3 linked regions of the Daphnia pulex genome follow. The main gene of each other region encodes a partner of the protein of the gene in region 3 in a complex. Links are inferred from orthologs where the notes say so. Each region holds a gene or a part of one and is shown on either strand. Other genes may lie near its edges.

Region 1 (2,701 bases), on a different chromosome or scaffold from region 3:
TCCACAATGCTGCGGACAGCTGTCGGTACAGATTTCGCCTACGAAGAGCCAACACGAATTATTCGCTCTTTATGGCAAAGCAATCCTCATTTTTGTGGGTCTTACAGTTTTCGATCCAAAAAAAGTGTAGAATTTGATGTTTGTCCATCGGATCTGGCCGAACCGGTCATCGATTCAAACGGTTCTGCTCGATTGTTCTTTGCCGGTGAGGCAACCCACGACCACCGTTACTCGACCGTACACGCAGCGGTTGAGACTGGTTGGCGTGAGGCTGACAGAATCGTAGAACATGTAAAGGAAACAAACTTTACCGCCAAACTGTAGTGGGTATGGCATTTTCGCATGACTTCGTTGTTAGGTAATGCGAAATAATGAGGTTTCATGCCAGGTATGACAATGAACTTGTTCTAATTAACTTCAATACTTAGTGTTGAGTTCCTTAAATAAATCAACCATTCTAAAGGTCAAATAGAGTTTCTGATTGTAAACTGATTTTCATAGTTTACAGTTTAAAAAAATTTAAGAAATCATTTCTTTCCTTGGAAATATCTAAGTTAAACAGTCAGCATTTATCAGCTTCAAATCTAACAAGGCTGCAACTGTAAAAGAGAACTTGAATTAATTAGAATGAACACGTTCAAAATTATTTACATTTATTAGAAACAAACTATATACCATCAGTCGAGAGATACACAGACCAGATCAGTTGGCATTCAAAATAAAACCTAAATAACACAGCAACTGTTACAGTGAAGAGTGGAACACAATTGGTTGATTGTTCAATGGAGTTATGGACAATTAGTTGTTAAGATCAGAACGCCTTTCCATATCTTTCATTTCTAAAATGTCTGCTTTCAGTCGAAGTTTTGTAATTTGACGCCAGATTTCTTCTCTGTGATCTGCATTGTGAATGCCAAGCCTCTCGAGGGAAATGTCATTCATTCTTAACAATGCTCTTCCACATATACCGTGCTGCAGGGTATACAGAATTATGCCAAATTCATTTGTCAGTGTAAAAATGGTAATAAAAACAAACTACCTGAATCATCAAGTCACTGTACACTGTGTAAAAATCGCTGCAATGACGTCGAAACCATTTTTGAACATCAGATGTGGTCCATAAGTAAACTGGCTTGGGTCGCGTCGCTTTGGGCTGCATTTAACAAAAAAACTTATGAAAAAAATAAATAAATAATAATTAATAAAAAGTGAAAGTTAAGTACCTTAGGTTTGTTGGTCGGATTAAGATTATCACCGCTGGTATTCATATCTTTCATTATAGATGGCATCAAAACGCAAACTAAAATGTTGCAGAAAAATTTATGTTTATCTTTTTGTTGTTGACATAAAATGCGACGTTGTCGGCTGAGACGATTACCTTGAAAAGAAAACACCGAGTCGACGACCAATTCAAGGTCTTATTTCATTACTTCTTCCCCAAGCCATTTCTTCGTTTCGTCGCTGTTCCTCGTGATAATAACCTGAGGTCTTCTTCTTATAAATTATGCGTGAATAAAAATACTAGTAGATGGCTTTTTCTCTGTCTCTGAGAATAAAGTAGATCAATAAACAAATGTGGCCATTGGCTATCATCAAAGTTGAAAAACTTCTTATTCTTTACACAAATACTTTCAAGTTCTGCTGATCTATCTTAACTGCCTCGGGGGGCAAGCGAACGAGGGATGTGTTTAATGTTGTTTTTTTCTTTCCCTTTTCTACTAGTTTTCAGGTAAAGCGCCTCAGGTAAAGTTGCACCAGACGACGAATCATTTCTTAGTCTGGCGTCTTCTGAGCAAGTTGGATACTTTGAGCTGGCAGAAGAATTTCAAAAGATAACGAAAAGATATAGTGATTTCCAAGTGTCACCAAGAAGAGATTCGTTGCCCTTTCAACCCCAATTTACCAGGATTTCTACTGATTCAATCAAAATAGTGATCAAGTTTACTGACTTTAAAAAAAGGAGGAAATAAGGTGGTTTCAAGTGGTCAGCAAGATGACTCGAGGTTCAAGGGCCACAAGAATTGAATGTGGATGCTGCTAAAGTGCCGGTGAGTTTCGTCTAGGTTCATTCTCCCTTTCTTAAAAAAGTTGGCACGTAGAGCGGAAGAGTGTCGAGACGGCAATTGGAAGCATTTGTTGCCTTATATAAGCATGCTTGTGAGAAGTAGGAAATGATGACGTTCTTTAGTCGGTGTTATGTTGGCTGTAATAATAACTTTTGTGTGTTGTGCGTCTTCTTTTTACCTCTTCTTTCAAGGTCTCGACAACACAGCTTCCATTTTATTAGCGGCTGGGGGACCTCGTGAGTTCAAGGTCTCAAGGCCATCTTCCAAATAAACAAGCCAAAAAAAACAAACTGAGCACGACGACAACGACATCATTCACGCTGACCAAACGGACAAGCAAATCGATTTTTAACCCCGAATGCCGTTCTTCGCCCCATGGCAGCCGAGTCCATTTCGTATAGTCTAATCCAGCAATAGTGGCCCTCTTTCTTCAAGAAAAGAAAAGGATATAAACTCCGCCATGTTCCAGTCATTGGTGTGGATTGTTACCATTTGTTCAGGTAAGAAAATATAGCCATTTTCTAGATTCCGTTGTGTTGATTCTGGTGGAACTTAACCTCAAGAAAATGTGTCTTTCCGAGACTTGGGTCGAGAAACAACCTGTTTACTTTCGTGAAATGCCAATCACTCTCTGT
Region 2 (4,216 bases), on a different chromosome or scaffold from region 3:
CACGTAATTCTGTGCATTCATTCTTCGTTTCAAAGCAAAGAAAAGAAAAACAAAAAAAAACTAAACAATTAGCTCTGGACCATCTTTACTCTGCCGAGTCCAACAGCACACACAATGGCGACAATTTCTTCCACGAGTTGACACAGATTTTTTTTTCTTCTCTTCTATACATTAAAAGAAGGGATGGGAAATAGAATAAAGAAAGAAATTGCAACTAATAAACGGCGCGGGCCAGGAAGATTGTAGAAAAAGAAAGAATAGGAGGATAACTTGGAATGTTCGTTTTGGGTGAGTCCACAACGCTCCAAAATCGTCAACAAGAAAATTCCAACCTCCTCATCTTTTCTTTCCAAAGCCTTGACACCAAAGATGAAAAATTCATCTTGATTGTTAACTATGCAGCTTCACGGTTTGACAAAAAGATTGGAGTGTGGCGGGGAAAACAAAGAGTAGATACACATTGGAAGAATGCTGGATCGACTTTGTGCGTATGATCGCGTCGTATGTCACAGCAGCGCACAGAAATTCTATGACTGAAAATTTGGAAAAGAAGAAACAAAACAAACAATACATCCACTTACCCTGTGGTAAATTGGGCGGATGAGTAGACAAGTAAATAGAATCCTCGAAACGAAACAGAAGATTTTCCAGCCCAAGGACTTGGGGTGCTACTGTTGGATGGATAGTGTGTGAACGCCAATGTAATCTTCCAAGATTTTTTTAGTTAGAAAAAGCACAAGAAGAAAAAAATGGACTTTCTTTTAACAATAAAGTTGTTAAAGTTTATCAGATGGAGAGAAAAAAAATAAACAAATTTATTCGGGATGTTTAGTGGGTGTGGAAGGCTGTAAATCGATGATCTTGCATACCCAACCAGCTATCTCCACGTTTTCAGAGGTCCATTTTTTTACCCATTCGTGACCCTAAGAACAGAATAATGATTTAATAACTACATCAGAAAAAAACAAAAAAAAAATTGTGGAACAGACCATTAGTGTACGTAGAGCGGGTCGTTCAGCCGGATTTTTCTTGAGACACCGATCGACAAAATCTTTGAATTCCACAGAGAAAACGCCGGACGGTAGTTTGGGAGGTGGTTCATTGACAATGTAATCCAAAAGCTCAAATATCGCCATCGGCCTAGGGCCATTGCCGACTCCTCCAGGAAATTGGCCTGCGGTTTCAAGAACGGATCTCTAAGCATTTGAAAGAAATGCGAAAAACAATGGATTATTACTTTGTCGAGGCGATCGACTGCTAGGAGACGGAGTCATGTTCTCAGGATCTTCGCTGAATTTTGCACCAAAAATGTTGGCCAATACCTGTGGATCAGGTGGGGGGATAGGGTACATGCCAATGGCCATTTCAACTAACGACAGCCCAAGAGACCAGACATCACTCTGAATCGAATAGTGTGTTCCTTGTAATCGTTCCGGCTAGCAGAAAAATACATTTTAATGGTATTTCGAAGTGAAAATGACTTTTCTAAACTTATTTAAAGACGACGTACCGACATGTAACTTCTCGTTCCTACAAATGAGTTAGCCATGGAGTCAATAAGCTGACCAGACACTCCAAAGTCACAAATTTTGATCTCTCCTCGACTGTTGACCAGAATGTTGCTTGGTTTAACATCGCGATGTATAATTTGATGTTTGTCTCGAAGATAACTCAACCCTTTCAAAACCTAAGCAAAAAAGCTTTTCTTATTTCGAACCCTTTAATAGATTAAGTATTAATTTTAGATCATCTTACAGCAATTGTTATCTTCCCTAGATATTGTTCTGGAATACGACCCGCTTTTTTCAGGATCAAGTCTAATGATCCTCCATCCATGTATTCCATGCAAATACTTATTTCACCATCACTACAAAAAATTAAACCAAAGTTAACAAATGCATTTGGGAAAGTTTTAAATTAGGTACCTGTAGAATGCTCCATAGAACCCAACAATATGAGGTGAATTGCACTCATGAAGCACCTTTAGCTCTCTAATTATTTGCTTCTTAATGGCAGGTTTCACTTCAAGATGTATCAACTAGGGAAACATAAATAAAACATCTGTGTTAAAAAAAAACCACTTAAATTTTTTCTGCTGTTGGTATTACCTTTCTGGCCATGATCAATCCAGAAGGACGATGTCTGACTTTGGTGACTACACCCCCATTTCCGGCACCTAGTTCACCAAGCTTATCAAAATCATCATCTGTCAGTTCACCAACTTCTTGCTTTTGTGAGAGAAACTTGTGCAATCTCTGTCGTTGAAGTTCATCAATATCAAGTTCCTCCAGCTGTTTTTGCAAAGCCTCTAATGTTGTATTTCCCATGGTTGTATTTCCGCTACTGTGAAAAATGTACATCATTGAGGATGACAACTTGGTGTTTATAGTGAACTTACTCAATTCCAGAATGTATAACTACACTACTGGTCTGTGTCATTGATTTGGCAGAGTTAATAGCTGCTGCTATGTTATTACTCCTTCCTGATGTTTCTCCAGGACTGGGGGTGGAGACTGGGTCTGGTTCCACAGGAGGAAGAGTTAAATTGAATTTGTTTTTTGACATTTTGCCTTTCGTTTCCGATGTATGAAATTCGTAAGCTTTACAACTAAAATGAACTCGCTCAGCTTATGATGACAGTAAAAGTTCTTCCAGTTCCTTCTCTATATAAAAAAATGCATCAAAAGAAAACTTATTGGCGGAACTCAAACACGAATAAACAAGTAGGCTGGCTATATCAACAGATCAGAATTGCAAAATTGTTCAGCGAAAAAGTTTTGACAAGAGTCAACCCTCGGACAATCCGTAGTTGCAATTTTTAATATTTCAACACACATTTCCATTATATTTGCAAACTGACATTTATTTTATTTTGAAAAATAATAAATATATTTACATTTCACAATTGCGACAATAATTTTAAAAATTGTAAAATTGATTATATTCACGAAAATTTAAGAACGCACCCTATGGAAGCGGAATCCACCTATTGGCAGAGAGAGGAGTTAACCTTAGTCCTCTTTCTTGGTTCGGTGTTTCTCTTGTACCCTCAAACACTTCTGAAGTAAGTCAACGAGAGTTCTCTTTCTGTTATCCAAAGATATTTAAAACATCTTTAACTTGTCGTGGTTCTTTGTTGATCCATTAAATTACGTTTTTATCGTGTGTTACATTAAACTGTTCAATTTTGTGTAGAAATGGGTCGATATTCGCGTGAACCGGACAACCCGACCAAGTCATGCAAGGCTAGGGGCTCCAACCTCCGCGTTCACTTCAAGGTATTGTTTTAACATATACTCGCGCTTGTGAAAGTTTCTTAACGTACGACTTGAATTTGATTGAATAGAACACGAGGGAGGCTGCCAACACCATTAAGCGTATGCCATTGAAGAGGGCTGTTGCTTTCCTCAAGAACGTCATCCAGCATAAGGAGTGTGTTCCATTCCGTCGTTACAACGGAGGTGTCGGCCGGTGTGCTCAGGTTAGTAGCTCATTTCTTTTGTATGAATTAAATTGACCAAATTGTGTGATTATAACTCCAAGCATTCTAGACAAAGTGCTGACAGATTGCAATGTTTCAAGACGGATCTGACATTAAAGAAAGATTCAACGTGTTGCCTTTCCACTATTTGGAGTCTAATCTCTATGTTTTGCTTTGCAGGCTAAACAATGGGGTACCACCCAGGGACGTTGGCCCAAGAAGTCTGCAGAGTTCCTTCTGCAGTTGTTGAAGAATGCTGAGTCCAATGCTGACCTCAAGGGTCTAGATGTTGATCACTTGGTCATCGATCACATTCAGGTACAGGAGTGAATCATAGTGTAAAGTTTTTTTCAAAATAGTGTGATTATAACCCTAAGCATTCTAGACTACTAGCTGACAGATTGCAATGTTTCAAGACGGATCTGACTTAAATTGAATTGTCAATTCATTTTCAAGTTTAAAGAGGAGTTGTCTAAAATTACTTCTCTGTTTTACAGATTAACCGTGCTCCATACATGCGTCGGCGAACATACCGTGCTCACGGAAGAATCAACCCATACATGAGCAGCCCTTGCCACATGGAAGTCATCCTGGCTGAGAAGGAAGACATTGTTTCCAAAGTCAAGGAGGAGGAAGTTACCAACAAAAAGAAGGTTTCAAAGAAGAAGTTGGCTCGCCAAAAGTTGTCCCAGAGGGAATAAACTTTTCCTGTAAACACTTTGTTAACCCTTTGTG
Region 3 (4,307 bases):
GGCGCTTCTTCTTCTCGGATTTGTTTGCGAAGACGGATATCGCGCAGCTTTTCTTCGAAAGAAGTCATATCACCTGACACTGATTCGTAAGTCGGTGTACTTTGACTCTTATCCAATCTCGGTCGATCCTGGGATACTTTTCTCGACGGCGACCGAATTTCTACTTCATTTTCATCACATTGTTTGTTGTCTTTTTGAAACTGGTCGATCCCTACACATAGGTCACTCGGTTCCTCACTGATTTTGTCGGCTATCAACATTGAAGAAATAACATTGACCTTCTCCTTTTCTCGCAATAACAGCAGCTCTGATTTATCGGACGCAGAAGTTTCTGACTGTCGACTGATATTTGATTCTTTCATGTGTGGTCGACGAATTTGGCCGTCGTAGTGGCCGACACTGCTGTGTGGTCGTTGCTCGGGCTGCTGTTGCTGTTGACGAAGAAGGTCGAGCAGCTCTGGTGATTTACTTTGCTGACCTTCTTTCAACTCTTTCCAAAACTGGGGGAAAAAAAAATAAAAAAATTCAGCAAGCAATTTTCAAAAACTACAAAAATCAAAACTTTCACAAAAAATCTACATCTTTACCGTCCTTATTCCTGCTGTTGTAAAGGAAGCATTAAAAAATGTAGAAGGTTTAATGATAAAGGTGACTTATGATAAGATAAAAAGACTAGATGTGTCATGTTTTAAATTTACCTGCTCGATATTGAGAGCAGGGCGGGATGAAGTAGGACTTGCGCCCGTTACTGTCGCCCTTCGCTGAATACTCAATCTATTCTTCGGCAAAATGAGACGGACACTAGCGGGTGAAGCGGTTGCGCCTCCCACTGCATCCGAACCCGTGGCAGCAGCAACTGCTGCAGCTGCAGCGGCGGCCGCGACGGGATCGTGATTATCTGGCAAGAAACTGTCGTCGTCAGTATCGTCGCTCTCCACTTCTGAGGGGAGTTCAGCAGCCGTCACCTCAGCCATTCTGTTCACGAAATACATGATTCAGTTAAGTCAACTAAGCAGAACTAGATAAAAGAATAATAATGCTTACACTGGTGGGGCAATATGCACAACTGGAACAGAACTAATAGACATCGAGTCGATGGCCTTGGAAGAAGAAGTAAGCTCCGGTTTGGTTTGACCGTCACCACCTAGATGCCATCGAAAGTGGTAGGACTCTCGTTTCTTACTTGGCAGCCTGTAAGGCTTCACGTAGATTTGTCCAAAATTGTTCGAATGACGAGGCCGCTTTTTAAGGGTCAGGATCACTTTAGCCGGATTCTCCAACATAGCAGCTTTTAGCTTTTTCTGCTGCCAACCAACAACTGTTTGGTAGTTGACTTGTACCACTTCATCACCTACTTCTATTTTCCCACATTGATGGGCTGGACTTTGAAATTTAACAGCCCCAATAACATGAACGCCTTTATACGATGTCTGAATAAGCATGCCCTGCAAGAATAAAAATTGTAAACATTAGAACACAAATTGTTCAAATAAATCTTTCTTTTCAAGAAATCACCTGTAACCACAGATCAATTCCATCGAAACTATTAGAAATTGAATGAGAACTAATAACCACGACATCTTCTTCTGGTTTCTTCTTTATAGTGGCCACATCTAGAGAGGCTGGTTGTAATACCAAAGGATCCAGAAATTCGCAGATAATTCTATCGGTAATTCCGACTAAAGAGATGCAGCCTTCTCGAATAACCTAGTTATCAGACATAGTGCTCCATTAAACATCAATGAGGAAATTTTATTGAATGTTTTCTACCTGAACTGGGTGTTCAGCAAACAAATCCCTTTGTGCATTTGTGGCAAGTTCAAGGCATATTTTAAGCAAATTGCCCTTAACTTCTAAATATGGTTCATGGCCGTCAAAAGGTGTCCTAAATGTCAGAAAAAATTTAAATGGTGAAAGCAAACTAAAAGTAAAGATATAAATGCTCACCGATCAAGCCAGGATAACAGATCTTTAACTTGATCTATGATATCAGCTACTGCAGCAAGAGTTGCAGTTGTCACTTGCTCAGTTTTCCCATTATCAAATGACTGATAAATAATTCTTAGCTCATTGTAAAGGCTTCTAGCTTTGCAGCCCAATTGCATGGCCAAATACTGAAGATTTTCTCGATCTAAGTTGTAGTGCTAATGCAAATACATGAATATAGAAAATGTTTATCAACTACTATTTGATTAAAGTCCATCTTACAAAATCTCTCAAAAGATCAACTGCTCCCATGAAGATTTCTTGGTGGCCAAGTTTGTCTATATGAAATACAGGCAAATCTTCAACTGTCGTGGAGAGGAGTCTATGGCCATTGATTTCCTGTTTGAGCATGAAGTGTATGTACGGAACAAGTGTATCATCCAAGCCTGTAAAAATTTAAGATGCTGCGATCTAGAATGGCCTTGTACATGGTAATAAGACTGTATCATACCTCGCATCCAGTCAGCAACCTGTTCAGGACTCCATTCGGCAACTGTTTTAATTAAAGAGAATTATGGCAGTAGGCCTCACATAAAAAAACATTCACTTATAATTACCATTGACATAATAGGCTGTCATTTTTCACTTAAGTTGTGTTTTGATGAAGGAGTAATTAATCATCAAGTATCACTATGACAACAACTGCATGAAGGACAAAGTTTAATCTAGTTCCTTGGTGAATTGTTTAGCCCTACAGCTACATCTAAGACATTGTACTGAGTAAAACTGAATAATTTCAAACGCATCAATTAAAATGAAGAAATCATATCAACACACACAATTCATCTCCTAGGGCTTTGGCTTCTTCTTTTCGTTTGCAGACTACAGCAGCGATGAGTCAGTGACCATTTTTGCTGTTGCTCACCGCATAAAAATGGCGCTGGGTACTAGAAACCAGTAAACACTGCGACACTCTTATAGACAGCCGGGACAAGCATATAGATTGGCTGGCGAAGCAGCTTTCCCTAGTCCTAGTGGCTGGTCAGAGGAAGCTGGAAGCCGTTGTTGTTAACTTGTTATGGAAAAGATAGGGTTAACTTGGAATGATTAGAAATTTAAGATAAGGATTTCCAATTCAAAAATTCACACTAGCTTAGTAGATAAATGAAATAAATCAAATCAATTTGTGCAAGCACAGTCGTCATCACAACTGTCCTTCATCAGTGCTTTACGATTTATATTGTGTTGTTACATTCCCCGTGTTTATTGTCGCCAAATAAAATAATTCGATTAAGTCTCAAGGTATCAAAATGAATTGTTTACTTATCAACATTCAACAGAGTATTTAATCATTTTGAATGAACTTTTGCCGTTCAGCTGTGTTGCCAATTGCTTGAAGGCGTATTAGTCCGCAGATGACCCTCCCCATTGAACGACCTTGGAAATTTGACAGAAGGCAATGGATCTGTTTTCCTGTCACAGAATAGAAAGTATTCCAGACTAGACTTGTCAGTTTTCTCAGAGTGTCACAACTATTTCAACTGTTATTGATAAATTTAAAATGTTTTCTAAGCAAATACCCTGGACTCTATGTCTTCCAAGTCGACTTTGCGGCGGGCAAAAATGTGTTGACAAACAAGTTTACTATTTTAACCAAACAACATGCATCCACAACTGTCCGCATCAATTCCCAACTTCCGATTCGACTAAGGAAATGAAACCTTTTGGTTCAATACCGGGTCCTAAACCGCTTCCAGTTGTTGGAAACATCTGGCGTTACGCCATAGGTGAGACGAGAAAATTGTATGAAGTTGTAGTATGAATACAAAATACATGAAATCTTTTGAATTAATAAAGAAAATGAAAATATTATTGTTCGAATTTGGGTGGATGTCATTACCGTGCTATTATAGTTCATTCAATTTAATTACGTATACTAATGCGTACACACTAGGAAATAATGATTGAATTAATATGCGGTTCTGACGGTCAGGACAGTATTCATTTGACCAACTGCATGTTACTGGATTGAAAAAGTATCTGCAATTCGGCCCTATCGTACGAGAGGAAATTTTACCTGGCGTAAATCTTTTATTGCTTTATCGGCCGGAGGACATTGAGCGGATGCACCAGGTGGAGGGTCGTTATCCATCACGACGAAGTCATACGGCTCTCGAATTCTATAGACTCCAAAGACCCCACATCTACAATAGTGGGGGTCTGCTTCCAACGTAAAATGAATTTCCTTGTCATTCAAAACAATATTGCAGTTCATTTTTAGTTTCTTTTTTTTATTAACAGGAATGGACCCGAATGGTACCGCTTACGACAAGCCCTTCAACGTCCAATAAATATGATGGAGAATATCCGTCAATATATTC

What was found.
Region 1: the proteins of uncharacterized protein LOC124198601 (region 3) and protein aveugle-like are in contact, whole or in part, in a crystal structure (PDB 8BW8), measured with the Drosophila melanogaster proteins. The link is inferred for Daphnia pulex from reciprocal best matches to the Drosophila melanogaster genes cnk and ave. Residues at the interface, in NP_001286524.1 of Drosophila melanogaster: Pro47, Glu51, Leu56, Arg57, Ile58, Gly59, His60, Gln61, Glu62, Leu65, Glu66, Glu69, Lys110, Ile111, Asp112, Thr113, Leu116, His117, Ile119, Thr120, Arg121, Ile123, Lys127, Val130, Glu134, Arg139, Arg145, Cys148, Gly149, Leu152; in NP_725413.1 of Drosophila melanogaster: Tyr24, Gln51, His52, Asp53, Ile54, Arg57, Ala58, Arg61, Ile62, Thr63, Ser66, Arg69, Met70, Glu79, Trp82, Arg83, Val86, Lys87, Arg89, Leu90, Lys91, Asp93, Ile94, Glu96, Ile97, Arg98, Met100, Glu101, Leu103, Asn104.
Region 2: the proteins of uncharacterized protein LOC124198601 (region 3) and dual specificity mitogen-activated protein kinase kinase 1-like are in contact, whole or in part, in a cryo-EM structure (PDB 8BW9), measured with the Drosophila melanogaster proteins. The link is inferred for Daphnia pulex from reciprocal best matches to the Drosophila melanogaster genes cnk and Dsor1. Residues at the interface, in NP_001286524.1 of Drosophila melanogaster: Arg46, Tyr48, Arg72, Tyr76, Thr92, Lys95, Asn96, Arg99, Arg103, His117, Arg121; in NP_511098.1 of Drosophila melanogaster: Arg200, Gln255, His258, Gln262, Tyr319, Val321, Asn322, Glu323, Pro324, Lys347, Gln348, Asp350, Glu351, Arg352, Ala353, Asp354, Lys356.

The regions. Positions count from the first base shown.
Region 1 is NC_060021.1:9,511,932-9,514,632, reverse strand, and holds protein aveugle-like, read right to left. Parts: upstream 1,367-2,701; 5' UTR 1,290-1,366; coding exon 1,224-1,289; intron 1,154-1,223; coding exon 1,040-1,153; intron 973-1,039; coding exon 799-972; 3' UTR 637-798; downstream 1-636. Other genes in the region: spermine oxidase-like, read left to right, coding at 1-324; cadherin-87A-like, read left to right, coding at 2,527-2,566. UniProt on the Drosophila melanogaster protein: Required for normal photoreceptor differentiation between Ras and Raf for EGFR signaling in the eye and for mitogen-activated protein kinase phosphorylation. Probably acts together with Cnk to promote Raf activation, perhaps by recruiting an activating kinase.
Region 2 is NC_060027.1:2,195,091-2,199,306, reverse strand, and holds dual specificity mitogen-activated protein kinase kinase 1-like, read right to left. Parts: upstream 2,812-4,216; 5' UTR 2,566-2,811; coding exon 2,399-2,565; intron 2,344-2,398; coding exon 2,109-2,343; intron 2,039-2,108; coding exon 1,926-2,038; intron 1,868-1,925; coding exon 1,756-1,867; intron 1,688-1,755; coding exon 1,511-1,687; intron 1,437-1,510; coding exon 1,238-1,436; intron 1,197-1,237; coding exon of another isoform or gene 1,175-1,196; coding exon 990-1,174; intron 924-989; coding exon 816-923; 3' UTR 69-815; downstream 1-68. Other genes in the region: 60S ribosomal protein L17-like, read left to right, coding at 3,198-3,278, 3,347-3,481, 3,662-3,799, 3,979-4,182. UniProt on the Drosophila melanogaster protein: Required downstream of Raf in the sevenless (sev), torso (tor), and Drosophila EGF receptor homolog (DER) signal transduction pathways.
Region 3 is NC_060023.1:3,779,439-3,783,745, forward strand, and holds the start of uncharacterized protein LOC124198601, read right to left. Parts: upstream 2,922-4,307; 5' UTR 2,566-2,921; coding exon 2,544-2,565; intron 2,480-2,543; coding exon 2,438-2,479; intron 2,373-2,437; coding exon 2,209-2,372; intron 2,145-2,208; coding exon 1,948-2,144; intron 1,886-1,947; coding exon 1,771-1,885; intron 1,708-1,770; coding exon 1,516-1,707; intron 1,446-1,515; coding exon 1,045-1,445; intron 976-1,044; coding exon 699-975; intron 501-698; coding exon 1-500. Other genes in the region: cytochrome P450 302a1, mitochondrial-like, read left to right, coding at 3,488-3,713, 3,920-4,157, 4,228-4,307.